Drosophila melanogaster: one gene and its partner. The protein of the gene in region 1 purifies or fractionates together with the protein of each later gene. This does not show direct contact. Each region holds a gene or a part of one and is shown on either strand. Other genes may lie near its edges.

The links.
Region 2: the proteins of Kr-h1 (region 1) and Lsp1beta purify together in Drosophila melanogaster (affinity purification with mass spectrometry, with the first as the bait; one large-scale study listed by BioGRID). This does not show direct contact.

What each region holds. Positions count from the first base shown.
Region 1 is NT_033779.5:6,088,167-6,097,904, reverse strand, and holds Kr-h1 (kruppel homolog 1), read right to left. Parts: upstream 6,494-9,738; 5' UTR 6,337-6,493; coding exon of another isoform or gene 6,085-6,336; 5' UTR 5,806-6,084; coding exon 5,661-5,805; intron 4,911-5,660; coding exon 4,198-4,910; intron 4,113-4,197; coding exon 2,752-4,112; intron 2,668-2,751; coding exon 2,349-2,667; 3' UTR 1,407-2,348; downstream 1-1,406. Other genes in the region: CG9175 (uncharacterized protein), read left to right, coding at 1-361, 432-594, 652-737; CG45075 (uncharacterized protein), read right to left, coding at 6,085-6,336. UniProt on the Drosophila melanogaster protein: Plays a general role in the hierarchies of gene expression leading to metamorphosis.
Region 2 is NT_033779.5:896,645-902,940, reverse strand, and holds Lsp1beta (larval serum protein 1 beta), read right to left. Parts: upstream 4,442-6,296; 5' UTR 4,210-4,441; coding exon 4,000-4,209; intron 3,932-3,999; coding exon 1,772-3,931; 3' UTR 1,625-1,771; downstream 1-1,624. UniProt on the Drosophila melanogaster protein: Larval storage protein (LSP) which may serve as a store of amino acids for synthesis of adult proteins.

The DNA.
Region 1 (9,738 bases):
TGCCAGCATCTCCAAGGATGCACAGGGCTTGGTGTGGGACCTGGCCAGCGGCCAGCTGCAACACAAGCTGCAGTGGAAAACGCCCGAGGGGGCCAAGTACCTGTTCAAACGGTGCCGCTACGGAACCGTGGAGGCGCAAAAGGATAACTACCGCCTCTTTACCATTGCCAATCCGCTGGGCAAGGTGGGAAAGCAGCGTGGCTTCCTGCAGCACTGGGACTGTGCCAGCGGGCAACTGCGTCAGGCTGTGGCCATTGACGAAAGCCTCTCGTCACTGGCAGTGCGGGATGATGGTCGATTCGTGGCCGTCGGCACGATGTTCTCAGGCAGCGTATCCATGTACATTGCATTCAGTCTGCAGGTGAGCAGAGGCAACTAATCAAAGTGTACGTTAATAGTCTTAACTCCAATTCTTTGCTTACGTTTTGCAGCGCGTGCTCCACATTCCCCATGCACACTCCATGTTCGTAACTGGCCTCCAGTTCCTGCCTATTACCAACGAGGAGGGACCGCCCATTTCCAGCGACACGGAGGCAGCCGTTCTGTCCATTTCGGTGGACAACAAAGTCTGCATCCACAGTCTGTCCCAAAGACGTAAGCAATAAAATTGGTGTAAAATTGGAAATTATCTCACTGCCAACTTCTTTTTAGGTACAATCCCCGCCTGGATTGCCATCGTCTTTCTGATTGTCATGATTTTCGCCGTGTTCGTGCTGTGCTCCTACATTGGCATCTGATGCTCAATGGCCAGAAGAGAGTTATTCGATTTGCATTATTAGTTTGTAAACAGGGTTTAGTTTTCTGCAATAAGCCACAACTCCTCCCCCCCCCAGCACTCCCAGCGTCGTCCCACCCCTCCTCCATCATGTTAATTAGTTTAAGTGCATAGTTTGTGCCGGCTGCCTTATCTCTTATACTAATTGCAATGTTTGCTTAGTTGTATCATAATTTGTTTATCTCTCTAGCCACCGCAAACGAAGCCTTGCTCGTTTGGCAGCTTTGCCCGTTGTACATGATTTTTAAAATTTAATTAATATTTCATTTATACAAAGGCAGACAGGAAAACTGACTGCGTCTAGTTGAAGCAGTCAAATGAATTGTAAAACCATTTTTATAATCAAAATGTTAGCTAATCGAACTGTGGTGGGTTTAGCACACCATTCGTATAGTCACAAGTGAATGATATATAAAAATGCATTCAGTAATGAAATTTCGATGTTTTATTCGCATTCAATGAGGTGGCAAACATGGTAAAATATTCCAACGAGGGTTATTAACCTCCAACATTGGTGCATCTACATTTTCATCACCGAATTGGATCGAGTTACTTCATCTGCGATTTCTCAAGCGAAATGGGTAAGTTTTTTAAATTAAAACGCCCCATTAAAATACACATACACCGAATTGGTTTATTTCACGCTTGTTTATTGATTTTCAGATTTCATTTGCGTTTTTTCATGCAATATTTGATTTTAGAATTTAAATCTATGTATTAACTCTGCGTTTACAAAAACTATGCTGACGCTCTTAATTATATTTGTTATCTTCTGGTTTGAAAATGTATATAAACGTAGTTATGCTTGCTTTCTTCTTGTTTATCAGTTCAATATTCTCCGTGTGTAAAATTAAAGTTACCGATCCTTTTTCCTCAGTTTTCCCTTATTTAGTGTATAAAATGCATATAAAATGATGGGTACATGATGTCAAAGATGCCGTTGACACTAATCGTGGAGGGGAAGGAAGAAGTTTGGCGAGCAGAGTTCATAATAAATAAGTATTATATGTATTTTATAAATATTAAGCGCCAATATGGCCATGGTTTTTCGTTCTCATTAATATGTGTATATATGTAGTTATGCGCGTAACTTATTATTGTGTACGGTTTGGATTTGGGTTTGGGTTTGGGTTTGGGCGTCGTTAAGTGATCTTTTATATATAATTAACTTAGTTATATGCTAATGCTTAATACGCATAATGCCAATTGCTGCAATTTGACTAAGTGGACAACACAGGAAAACAAACTATACCTACATTGTATATGCCAAACTAAAATGAAATTTTGCAATATGGGTGAAACTATTTTCAAATCAAACATTCAACAAAACTCGGATCAAGCCAATAAAACGTAATAGGAGGTAATATTAATTTTAAAACAAATTTTTCCCTTTTTTAATACTTTTGGCATTTTCATTTTCGCTGCTGGAAAACTATCTCACTGCCATATCCATACGTTTCTATGCTTTCTTTTTCCAGGCCTAACCCCGAACCTCAGAGAAAAAACTTAGGCTAATTTCAGTTAGAATTTGTTTGGACAGTCTTAATGCTGATTGGGGATCGGCCTTGGACCCCTAGGAGGCCTTGGCGAACTGAATGACCGAGCTCATTCGCATCACCTTGGACCCGGGTCCATCCCCGGCGCCAACGGAAGCGGCACCACCGGCGGCGGAGGTGCCATCTCCGCTAGCCTTCTCCGAATCCACCTGACCGTCGTCGCCCTTGTTCATGTAGTGCTTGCGCTTGCGCAACGGCAGCGTCATCACGTTCCGGTCGGCCATCATCAGGGAGTCGCTCTCCGGCGAGGAGCTACGTTCCGGCGACTCCGTGCTGGAACGCAGGCCGATGGCCGCCTCCACGCGTCGCACAACGTCCGGATTGGGTAGAGCGGATCTGATGGGAATAGTAAGCAATTCGATTTAGTTATACTCTTAGACAAAAACACAAGCATCCGGCTTGGGGGACCAAAATACTCACTCATATTTGGGCACTGGTGCATAGCCCTTGTGCAGCCCGTGGCGAGCGAGATCACCACGCTTGAAGTGCTCGATCAGCACGGTGGCTTCATGGGTGTCATCGTAGTTAGCCGCTAGATCGCTGACGTGCAGAGTGGGCACCTGTGGCTGGTGGCTTGGCGCCGGCTGCTCCGTTGGGGGTAAGGAGCCGTGGCCGCGGCACAACTGCATCATTTGCCAGGCGGCTGCGTGCACATCCTCATCCTGCACCTGGTCATCGTTGTCGTCATGGCGACGCGCAATGCTGGCCGCTTCAAGCAGGGCAGGATTGATGGTTAGACCAGCGGGTTGTGGCTGCAGTTCGAGTAGACTTGGCGGTGCCTGGTAGTAGTCCACAGTGCTTTCTGGCAGCTGACCCTGGACCTGTTGCATGCTCAAATCTGTGGGCTCCTCGTCTGCATAGGTGCTGTGGGCGGGCTGGGCGCTGGACACGCCGCTGTCCCGGCTCAAGGCATCCGCCTCCATCTGGACGGGCAGGTAGTGGGCCGATGTGGGTGGTGGCGAGGCCATGCTGCTGGCCGATGGCGAGTATGTGGAGCTGAGTGAGCTGGGCGAGAGCGGCGAGGAGGTAGGGATGGAAAGGGTGGCTGCAACGGTTTTGGAAACGCGCGGCTGGCGAGCCTGGCGAGGTTTCTTTGTGGCCGGTGGCGAGCTGGGCGGCGAGTGGTTGCTGCTCTCGGAGTTGCTGCTGACTCCTTGCAAGGACGGCGATCCGGCGGAGGAGCCTGCGGACGTTGATGCTGCTGCCGACGCAGCCGCCGCCTCCGCTTCGTCGTCGGGTACTTCGTTGGCATGGCCCTTGATGTGGGCCTCCATCTCCTTCTTGTTCTTGAACGTCTCGTCGCAGATGGTGCACTTGTAGCACTTGGAGCCGTAGTGCTGGACGCGATGCAGTTTCAGCACATGATTGTAGCCAAAGTCCCGGAAGCAGATGTCACAGTGGTAGGGCTTCTCGCCCGTGTGCGTTCGCGAGTGCACCTTGAGCTGCTTGGAGCAGGTGAAACCTTTGCCGCATCCCGGCTCCGGGCACTTGTACGGCTTCTCGCCGGTGTGCGTGCGCATATGGATCACCAGCTGGCCGGACTGGATGAATGTCTTCTCGCACACGGAGCACTTGTGTGGCCGCTCGCCGGTGTGAATGCGCATGTGGCGGTGCAGCTTCCCGGAGTGTTCGAATGCCCGTCCACAGACGTCACACTTGTACGGACGCTCCTTCGTGTGGATGCGCCGGTGCACCTGGAGGTTCTCCTTCACGCTGAACAGCTTGTGGCAGAACTCGCACTCGAATGGCCGTTCACCAGTGTGGGTGCGGTAGTGGCGGATCTAAAAGCGAAGGAGATATATTACTTATTAATATCACTGATATGGTGGTCCAAATATTTCAAATCTCTGTTTTCGTGACACTTACCAGCCTGGCGGGTACGGCGAATGTTTTCTGGCAAACATTGCACTGATAGGGATCTGCTCCGGCGGCCACGTTGGCCAGCGGCTTGATGGTGGGGCTCTTGGGAATGCCCACCGGCAGACCGGCATCATTGAGCTCGATGGCCGCGGTTGAGACGGGCGCAGCAACGCCGGCTCCAGAGGCGCCATTAAGCGACAGATCTTGGTTCTTCGAGTGCGACTTGGTGTGTGAGGTGTGGGCGGACTTGCTGCCAAAGGTCATGCCACACTGGTCGCACTTGAATTGCGGTTTGCTGGCGCTGGGCTTGCGCACCTGCGACACCACGGCTGCCGACGCTGGGAATCCGCCGACGGGCTCTGTCTTGATCCGCTGGGCTGATGGAGCTGCTGTGGGTGCTGCGTTCGTAATACTTTCATGTTGCTGCTGTTGTTGCTGCTTCTGATGCTGCTGGATGGCCAGTTGGTAGCTGACAAACTGCTGCTGCTCCTGCTGGTGCTGGTCCTGTAGCTGCAGTTGCATTTGTCGCTGCTGCGGCGTCTGCAGCAGCTCGAAGTGCTCCTGTTGGCCGCCGGATGGCGGAACTCCTAGGCCCACGCTCGTGGTCGTCGCTGTTAGTGGAGGCGGAACCTGGAGGCAGAACTGCGCCTGACTAGATTGTTCCGTTTTTATAAGCAGCTGGTTGGCGGAATAGTAAACCATTTTGGTTGTGGCTGAATCTGGAAGAGGGCGAAAAAGAAGGAGCCGCATTAGATTTTTGACCATAGTTAACTAGTTTGATACCTGACCAAAATAGTTGGTTCTAAATAGACTTAAGTAATAATACAAGAAATTATAAATTAGATACTGCTTATTAGTTATATTAGCAACCTATTGTTTGGTTTTTGTGGTTCTACAAAGCCAGCTTAACCATAGTATAAGGTCTAACTCCTTTGCCCCCCATCAATTCACAATCTGCGTCTCAGGAAAAACACGGAAGCAGATAGAAAGTGCAATACGGGTGGTTAGGAAAAGTCTCGTAAGAGCCAAAGGAAAAAAGGGCGTAAAGGGGAAAACCCACCCCGTGAATTTGTGCTACGCACTTTCTGTTATTGCCGGCCGGGGTTTTCCAAAATAAGGAAAACCTAGCGAGAGCTTATGGGGGGAGGAAAAGCGAAGGCGCAGGAGAGTGAGAGCCAGAGGAAATGGGAAAAATTTCATTGAGAACCCTGCCTCGAAAATGTCCCACTTGGGATATTTGGGAGATAGCATTACGAATCGTACGGTTTCCAACCGGCATTTCCCGTTGCCATCCTGCTCGCTCGCACTTTCTGTATCAGTCGCGCTGTTGTATTTTTTTTTTTTTTTGTTATGATAGTATGAACGAACCCCACAACTTCCCCCAAAACAAAAATTGCGTATACCAAAACAAAATGGCGTCGTGAGGGAACTTTTTCGGTCTGAATTTTTAGGAAAAGCATCTCAATTACCTTTCGCCGGCGATTTTTTGACGGCAACAGCCTTTGCGGGACTCTTGGATATATCGAGCAGTTCCGTGCCCGATTTCTTGAGAACATCCTTAATCCAAATTTGTTTGGGTGCCCAAGATTTTGTATCATTCTTGCTTTCAGTCATCTTGCTACTGCTCCATACAGGTTTTCCTCCTAATAATACTTTTTGATTGTTCAAGTCAAATCATTCAATTGTAAGCAAGTCTAATTTATAATATAGTTTATAAGTTTGAAGAGATCTTTTCTTATTCAATGTGTATACTTGTAAATTTATTCATTGATTTGAGTTTACAAAATCAGACTTTAGCGCTGAACTCGTGTCAGTTTTTCAGTATCAGTCCCTCGATTTGTATATCAGCAGTCTTAAGATTTATTCATTCATTTAGCTCGTCTCATGACATTTTTAGACAAGGATTTTCATTTGACGCGTGATTTTCTCCTTGATCAGGTTCTTCTTGATGATTTTGATGATTTTCTTCAAGTCCTTCGACTGTTGCACGGGATAGGTGTGTTGGTAGTGTTGCATATTTTGCGGAGGCTGCTGTTGGTGCTGATGATTGCGGTATTGGTGGTGCTGACCGCCCTGGCCCGAGCCCTTGTTCATACGCATTTTTCTGAATGATCTCAAAATATCGTTCATTGAAAAGTCGGTCATTTTCGAGGTGTGGACCACACACACACACACACACACAAGCACACGCACACGCACAACACCCGTACAAACAACACTTAACGGAGTAGAATGGGATTCAGATTATGTTCACATCGCCGCTCCCGAGGTTTTCGGTTCGATGGTGTAACGGAGACTGGTGGGTGAGTTCCCGAAAAATCTGCCTCAAACCCTGTCACGGAAAAATCAACCACCACCAACAAGAATGGTCCCATTGGATCTGAAATTTCCCTCAATTGGAAAATGTTTGAGTGCGATGACAAGGGAAATTTTCGAGTGTTTCTTTTTTTTTTGAGTTTGAGTGGTTTCGGACTTTTCCGATGACATTCTCTTTTATGGAGCACCAAAATTTCCCCGAGCTCAGGGAAATTTCATTGGTATCTAAGTTATCTGCGACGTTTATTATTTCAGACTAATTGAAAATATGTACATATACAAGCATTGAATAAACTTTGAACTCTGAAGTGATTTCATTTAAGTGATGTAATTAGTTGGGTTTTCATTGATAAGATTCTAGCATTTGAGTCATAAATGCAACGAATTAGGCAATAAGTTCTGATAGTTCTTATCGCAGTCTTATAGTTATTATTCTTTAAAGTACCAAAGTCCAACTTGCTTGCCACACTTAGCATACCAATTAACTAACAATTGCGGCAACTATACGTTTAGAGGCTACAAAATCTCAGGGATATATTTTGAGCAGTCCATCTATAGAAAGCCAACGACCAGTTTCCACCTTCAACAAGCGAACATTTATAAGAAACCCTCCCAAAAAACAGAATGAGCACGAGAAGCAAATGTTGAAATACAAAAGTTTCGGTGAAGGCAGGTTCAAAAAACTTTATCGGCTTTCGTTGTTATTGTGTCTGAATGTTTATTCGGCTGGCTGTGCGTTAAACTAGCGCAAAAGTTCATTAACATTCGACACAAAAACTATTTTTGAGTGAGTGCGGTGTTGTTGGAGGGCAGAGAATGATCACCGATCCCCCGATCCCCCGATTCGTGCGCTCGTGCTCTTTTGGGTTGCCCGACCAAAAAGTTTCTGAAGGTATGAACGACACAATATTTTTTGAGGGGGAAAGACACAATTATCTCTTATGAGTTGCTTCCCAAAACGGGGGGCAGCTAGAATGGGAAAAACGAGGGGAGGGGATTCAGCTGCGGTTCGGAAAAGTTAAAGTGCCGTTATTTTGTTGGGATAGCTCTGAAATAAAGCGACTTAAAACTGGTCTTTAATGGAAGTGATCGCCGTGTTTGGATAGATCAGTAAAGTTGCTTGGCGGTCAGTATGAAAGCTAGATACAAACAGATACCAGATTGAACGTGAAACGCTCAAACGAAACTAAACTAAACTAAAAGAAGTATTTATATTAAAATTATAATTAAATTCACTTCGGTTCACTTCCAAAAATACACCCTATTTACACATGCATAGCTATTTTACACGTGGAGATACATACGCAGAGATACAGATACATAAATTGAGTTGGTTTGGATTCGGTGTTGCTTTTTGGTGTCTTCTTTGTGGACTTTTGATGGGGTCATTGAACACTTAAATATAAGCAAATTGTAAGCTTTTCACTTCGCTTCCCCCCTCGAATCGGATTTTTTTATAAAATTACTTCTGCTCCCGTCGAGAGTATCTATTCCAACCGGAGGATCGCGTTAACATTTCACATACATATTCTAGCTAAGGTTCGATGAGCCCCGATAAGATAAGGCAATATAACACGACACGTTCGCCGTTTTTCAATTCATAGGATGTCCCTCAATGAAATTGTACGCTAAAGTTAGGGCTCTAGGCAGACTTATCAAACGAGAACTATCAACAGCGATAAGATATTGAAATTAAGCGAATGAAATTGGAGTGACTGGAAATTCCATGGTGGGGAATATGGCCGGAAGGATTGAAAATTCCAGTCTAAAGCACAATTATTAACCTTCGACTATTAAGGCTCAAATTATGAACATACTAAATGTTTTAAAATATATAGATATTCTTTTTTGAAAACGTGTACTTGTTATATATTTTTGAAAACAAAGTCAGTTTACTATAGAATCTTTGCATATGAAACATGAGAGAACGAGAGCTGTACGAACGACTGAACGAAATATGCCAGATTTAGAAATTTTAGCATTCTACTTTGGTGTTGTATTTATATAGCGAAGGTCTAGACACGAAGTCTGAGCTTAGGCTGCGCAGCTGCTGCTCTGCCGCCGCTCTGTCGACGCCTCTGCCGCAGTGTGCGTCGCCGCTGCCACGCACAAATTGCGTGGGCGAAGTGGTTGGGTTGGCCTAGGTCAAAAAGCAAAGACACGCACTCAGGCAGGCAGCGAGTATTACAGTTACGATGAGCGAGAACGCATACTATAGTCGCAAGGGTTGATGTACAAAGAATGGTGTCGGGGGGAGCTTCATAATCGCTAAGCTGGAAAATGTGGCGTAATATTCCCAAGTCAGCTTGCGCTAGTTGGCGAAATTGAATACCAGAATTATATTCTACAATACGAATACATTCATATGTGTGTACATAAATTCAGAAGCACAATGCACTATAGGGAATTCGAATTTGTTGTCGCAAATAAATATCTCGTAAACATTTTAAAATCCGTTAAGAAACAAATTTTCAAATTTTCAACGTTTTTAATAACACATTTTTGCTAACAAATAAGATCAAATTCCCCATAGTCCAATGACGTGTTTTCACTTTTTCAACATCTGTATACATATCTCAATATGCACGTACAAGCATTCATATGTACTGATGTACATACAATTCAGAAATACAGAATTAAGAAATGGCGCAGCCAGGAAACCTTCCCTTTCGTTTGGCCCATCCAACCAACACCCCGCCCACCCACTGGGCGTTGTTGTTTTTGTTGTTGCTGCCACTGCAACAGTCACCGCAAACAACATTGCTTACTCATTGCAGAGAGCGACAGCAAGAGAGTGGGGTGAGAGGAAGAAGAAGAAGAGCGAGCCAACACGCGCATTGATTGTGAGGCTGTCGAAAACTCGCGCACGACCTCCTTACGGCAGCCCGTGTTGCTGCTGCCCGACGAGCGAGTCGAAAACCCATGCACGCCCTCCACGTGTAGTTCAAGTTCAAGACAACAGCGAGAGTGTGAGGCGAGTCGGCACGGCGCACACAATGACAATGTCGCGAGTGTGAGAGTGCAGTCGAATTCGAGTTCTGCGAACGCGCTGCCTGCGTCGACGCTGCAGTTGGCGTTGCAGGCGAACTTTTTCTATAACTGTGTGTGTGTGTGCAAGGTCTAGGTAACTTTGCATTGCATACTTTTTTGAAGGATTTAGTTAAATTTTGAAGGTATGGTTTAAAATTGGAAATAATTATGCATATTTTATTAGACAAGGGTCAGAAGAAG
Region 2 (6,296 bases), 5.2 Mb from region 1:
TACTACTTCCTCACCCATGACTGTGTTTCCGTGGTAGATGTTCTCGGAATACGTGACTGAGGAGTGGAAAGAGGATTAGATAGTTTCACTGCGGAATTGCGTTTGAACTGATTAAACATGAAACCCGAAAACTAGATCAGCAAACTCAACGCAAAAGTGTTGTGGGCAGAAGGGTCCTTCAGGACGAGCTGTGTGTGTGTGTGTGTGCCAGTTAATTAGAAGCCTATTGATAAAGTTGAATTGCAGCTAATGTGGCAAAGTTGGTCGGTCGCTCAATGGCGGTCGGTTGGCCAGGTTACCCGGCCAAACTGGATGGACATTTATTAATTAAAATGCCGCGAAAACACAAACACTCCCCCTCCGGCACTTTCATTAGCGTTTTGTCAAGTGCTCATCAAAAACAGAGCGACAGAGAAGCAGTGAAGCACTGGGGTTAAATTGATGGCCGTGTTTGCTAGTTTAATTATGCATTTGCAGCGAGTCCTTCAGTGCATCACAATATGTGCTGGAATAATGCAAAAGGACACGAGTGGCCCGCAAACAAACAAACAAACAAACACACAGCAAACAATTCACGCACATCGCACAGAATATGCGGCTTATGTCAACAATAATTTTTGCTCTCCTGCTTTTTTGCTATTTCAGCCTGGTTCATTTCGCATTTTCCCATTTGATTTCAAATTCACCTGCGGTCGTGTGCGCCCTCGTTGACCGCAAATTTCTAATAACAATTTGTAATTGCCATAAATTAAATCACTTTCGGCGCCCCAGTCTCCCGCTGATCCATTCACACCATCGAACTTTCTATCGAGTTACCGAAACTATTTCGATTATTAGTTTTTTGCGGCCTATGGAATTCTGCAAAATCATTTATTACTACCCCATAAATATTCCGTATAGAAGATGCTCTGTTTCGTTGTCAGGTTAACCATATTCCGGCGATTTTTCACCATTTTATTGCTGATATTTTCGTGGCTTGTAAAACTATTGTGGGCCTCTCAGATTGTTTAGTTTTAATTAAAATTATTCTTATCATTATTCGCTCGTTAATATAATCATTTAAATGAAACAGTAAAATCCAAAGGTTACATATAATATGTATAAGGGTGGAAGCAGATAAGAACCACAATATCAACGCACAGTTTACAAAAATCAACCCAACTGCAGATGTAACATTTTGCTAACATACTTTCGGGGGTAAGACTTTCACGCACTTTCACTGCAATAATTCCCAACTGCTTCTGGCCATCAGCTCATGGAAACCCATTCCCTGAGCTGAGGAAAGCATACTTACCTGGCGTAGAGGTTAACCGTGATCACGAAGGCGGTTCCTCCGGAGTGAGGCTTGGCCATTGCACCTCGGCTGAGTTGACCTCTGCGATTATTCCTAATGTGAATAACTCGTGCGTGTAATTTTTGGTAGCCGGGAATGGCGTTCGCGCCGTCCCGACATCTGCAATAAATTTTAAAAGTATCATTATTTTCATATATGTAGCCTGCCTTGCAACTACATTGATAGAATGAATAAATGACCCCCGAAAGTATATTTCTACCGATGAGGAACGTTCCTTCCTTTTCAAATTGTGGGGTCCTCTTTAGATATATTGAAAACAGGGCCACTTTTACTTGGTTTTCGAAAGTTTATTAGACTTTTTGCACACCTTACTAGCTAGGTATCAGACACTCTAAAAACATCCGCGCTCATTCAGTAGATCGTTCCGTGATCGTTTTCCGGATTTCGCAATCGAAGCCGCACACACAACGACGACGCTCAGAACTTGAAGTACTTGGTGTAGTAATCGTTGAAGAAGGTGTAGTCGAAGTGGCCGTAGTTGGAGTAGCTCTTGTACTTGTAGTAGGGCTCCATGGTGTCGGCGTGGTAGATGGACACGTCCTTGAAGTACATGTTGGGCACGAAGAACTCGTACTCGTCGATCGCACGGTCGAAGGGATAGCCGAAGGGCAGGCTGTCCACGTAGCGCGCTCCGGATCCGATACCACAGGAGTAGGTGTAGTCGAAGGTGGAGAACTGCTCGTGGGCGGGGGCCACGTACGGCACCACCATGAAGAACATCTGCATGGGCATGCCCTTCTGCCAGCCCATGGGCAGGACGAGGCGGTCGGGGAATCCGCAGTGGGGCTCGCTGATGTCCAGGGGGAAGTCGTACTTGCCGTCGAAGGCCATCATCGTGTAGTAGTAGAGCTCGGTGTAGGTGGTGCGGTCCTTGACGGTCCAGTAGAACTCGCTGGACTTGCGAGTGATCTTGTTGGTGCCGGCCTTCAGCTCGTAGTAGAACTCGTCGATCTCCATGAAGTTCATGCGGTTCTCGGCCAGGGAAATGACTTTGCCGAACTCGTCGAACTTGGGTCCCAGGAAGGCGCGGATGACCACCTTCTCGACCTTCTCGGACTCGATGGTGTAGGTGTAGGTGAAGGGCTTGTGGTTGAGGCGCATCTGGCGGGCGAACAGCGACATGTCCCACACGAACTTGCCGTCCTGGAAGATCATCTTGTCGTTGAGCATGTTGGTCACATCGAAATCGACCAGGTCGAAGTAGGTGGTTAGGTCGCTGACCTCCACGTTCTTCATGGTCACGCCGGGCATCAGGAGCTGCTCCTTGGTGTACTTGGGCAGGTAGTGCATGAACTGGAAGTACACCTGGGCGATGGACTTGTAGAACATGTAGTACATCGGGTCGCGCATCATGGTCTCGAAGTTAAGCATCACGTTGGGGTACACGTCCATCTGGTAATAGTCGGCGTCAGCGAAGTACATGTGGGCGAGCATGTACCAGAACTGGTAGAACATCTTGTCCATGGCGTCCACGTTGCCCTGCAGCATGTTGCCAATGAACTCGATGGCCTCGGGTTTGCGCAGATCGATGGTGTGGCCATCGGCGGTCTTGTAGTAGCCCATTTCGACGATGTTGTGAATGCGCTTCAGGAAGCCGGTGATCTTGTCCAGCATATCGTAGTTGGCGTAGGTCTCCATCTCGTAGTAGTTCTTGCGGAAGCTGTAGCCAATGCCGTTGTAGTAGATCAGCTGGGGGTCGTAGCCCATCTCGATCTGCTGGTACCAGGAGAACTCGGGGATCTCGCCGAATCCGTGCGACAGGCGCTCCATGTAGTATCTGCTGAGCAGCTGGTGCACGTTGTAGAGCCACCACTCGCCGCGACGGTCGTTCTTGAGATCGAAGGTGTTGCCGTCCAGGAAGAAGGAGTAGTCCATGTTCAGATAGTACCAGTAGGCGTTCCAGCCCAGATCCTCGGTGAAGTAGGACAGCTTGGACTCCTTGTTGTAGAGGTTCAGGTCGCGGGTGTAGTCCACGGGCATGTAGAACTTCTTCACGTCCTTCATCATCGACAGCCACTTGGTCTCCTGGTTGAACTCGTAGATGTTCTCGCGCAGAATGAACTTGTCCTCGGTGTACCAGTGCTCGCCCAGACCCATCAGTTTCCACCACTGCCAGGTCTTGAAGTCCTTCATGTAGGTGTAGTCGCTGGACCGGTACATGGTTGAGTAGTCGTATCCGTTGGTCTTGTAGTACACATCCATGTACTCCTTCTCGTACATCGTCATCTTCATCCACATCTCGTAGTCGAACTTCTCCGCTTCGAACACAAACTTGCTGTTGAAGAAGAACTGTGGGAAGATCTCGTAGATCGAGGGCAGCATCAGTCCATGGAAGTCGTTGCGGTGGATCACGGCCATGGTCAGGGCGTAGACGAACATGCCCTCATTCACGTGCATGCGGGCCCAGGCCACGTTGGCGGCGAAGGTCTCCCAGTCCTTGGCGTAGTAGAAGAAGTTGAACAGACCGCGGGCCTGCTTGGCGTGGGACATGACCAGGGCGCCGAAGAACTCGCCCTTGGGCAGCAGGGCGTGAGCCTTGTAGGCCTCGAAGAACTTCTTCATGTACATGTCGTAGTGCTGGAAGGGATCACAATGATCAGTGATTAGGGAGAGGCACAACTTCAGCCAGTGCTATATCCACTTACAGTGTAGTAGGACTCCTCAAAGTAGAATTTCTCGCCCTGCTTGATGTGGTCCTCGAACATCAGCGGATCCTCCACGCGGTAGACGATCTCGAAGAGGAACTTCTGCTTCATCAGGAAGGCCTTGTCGGCGATCTTGACTTCGTGGGTCTGGTGGAAGCTGGCAGCGGCGGCCAGGCCCAGGCAGGCCAGCAATGCGATGGCGATCTTCATGTTGACGGATTCCTGCAACTCTACACTTGACACTCAACTGCTCCGGATCAGATGCACCCAGTGGATCCAATGCCTAAAGACTGTTGCCTCACTGCCGTCCACCTGGCTGCTTTTATACCCAAGAGTCCCGCCTACGATCGCAGTGTCCGGAGCTCGGAATCTGCTCGGAGATATCGCGGTGCAGCTTGGGGGTCACTGGGTGTATCTCAGGTGCTGCGATCGCGCCATCTGTCCATCTGTGCCGGACTACCTCTTATCGCCTTGCTACCCTCTTGTCTCTTATCAAAGCCAGACTTCTATTCATCTGGTTGCCAAGAGCCAGCTCTGCAGGTGCAATCAAGCCGGCATTACGTCAACCAAATTCAAATCCGTGACCAGCTATCTCAAATTTCGTTCAATGCATCTTTGTTTGTGCCAATTTATTTTTAGAATTGGTGCTTCTTCTGCGCCAGAAAAGATAAATCAGACTGGCGACATGTCCTCAAAAATGTAGATAGTTAGAAATATGTATATGATACGTATATACATATATGATATGGAAATCCCTACAGTCTACGTGCATTAATTGACTTGGCCCACACACATTCATCTGCGGACCAGAAGAGGAGGAACTGCGTCAACTTTTGTGCCGCCATATGAGGCAGCGTGAAATCCAATCAACTTTTTCTAATCAGGCAAAGTATAAAGTAAATTCAATTACGCGGCTACTTTGTAAATCCCCCAGGATCACACGCCTAGGAAAAGGAGGCGTCCTGCCTGCTGCGTGTGTGACATTCATGTGGGCAGAGTGTCGCGTCCCAAAAGAAATTTTCGAAAATAAATAGAATTCCGGCAAAGTCAAAGCAGGGTAAACAAGTGCAAAGTGTTGGGCGCCGAAGGGGAATCCATGGCAACTAATCAGAAATTCCGTCTCATGCGCTGATGTGAAGTGTGCCAGTGCCACCAAAAAAAAAAAAAAAACATAAAAAGGAGCGACAGACAGCACAGGACGAAGACGGACCCGCGATAAGGAGATCCAGGACAGAAGCCCAGGACAGAAACCCAGCCCAAGTGGCATCGCTGCGGCGCCTGGGATTATGCAAAATTCAATTTGCAACTTAAATGTGTTTATTTTGCGTTACGCTGCTGGGGCAATTTTTATTTCCACTGAAAATGAGGGATTTACTTACTTACCAAGTGGGTGGAGTCGCCTGCTCCTGCCAGGCGAGTCCTGCCGAGCGATAAGCAAAAGGGTGCCCGGAAAAGCGGGGCGAAGAGCGTTACCAAACCAATGAGCAATACCGCCATCAATTTTCCAATCTTATTGAGCGTTTAAAAATGTGAGTGTGTGCACTGAGAAAAATTAGTCATGCTGTGTAACTATGTAACTGATGTAACTGATGTAACTATGTATCAACCATATACAGAGCAGGAAATAGAAAGCACTTTGCATTCATGCATGTATGTTAGTAATGAGGAAGTATGAGGTTTTTGCGCAGTGTACCAATGTGGGTGCTCCCACTTTTCGAGTGTGTTGGTGGGGCGACAACGACATCGAGAACGTCCTGTGCCCGGCTGCAAATTGCTGATTTACAAACAAAATGAGATTTCCGGCGGAGAACCGCAGTCCGCCTCTTTTTTATGGGCCAAGCAGGCAACATAAACAGTTTGCCCTCCATTCGAGATCCTTTGCATAGTAAACGGAGATGCAGAGTGTGCAGGGACAAATTGCCGAATTCAATTTGATAGTGGAATTTAGTCAGCCGTTTATTTAATTTTATGGCCCAATCACAGCCACCCGATGATAGATAGCTCCATCCGCCTTTTTTCGACAAAGATGATGATGATGAAGATGGGGTTTTCCCAGCCGCCTTATCGCCGCATATTTAATTACTTGTCAGTCATTAATCGCTTGCTTATGACAGTGAAATTAAAATCCAGTCGGGGGGGCTTGCTCCCTCGCAAATGACAGTTGAATGGAAATTTAGTTGCGAACGGAGCGTTAACCGAACTGAGCCACACAGAAACCGCCTACCAGGAAAATGTTTTAGTTGCCGCACGCAAATTAGCCAAAAGTTTTCCCTTGAAGAACGAGGCCGAACTGGAAC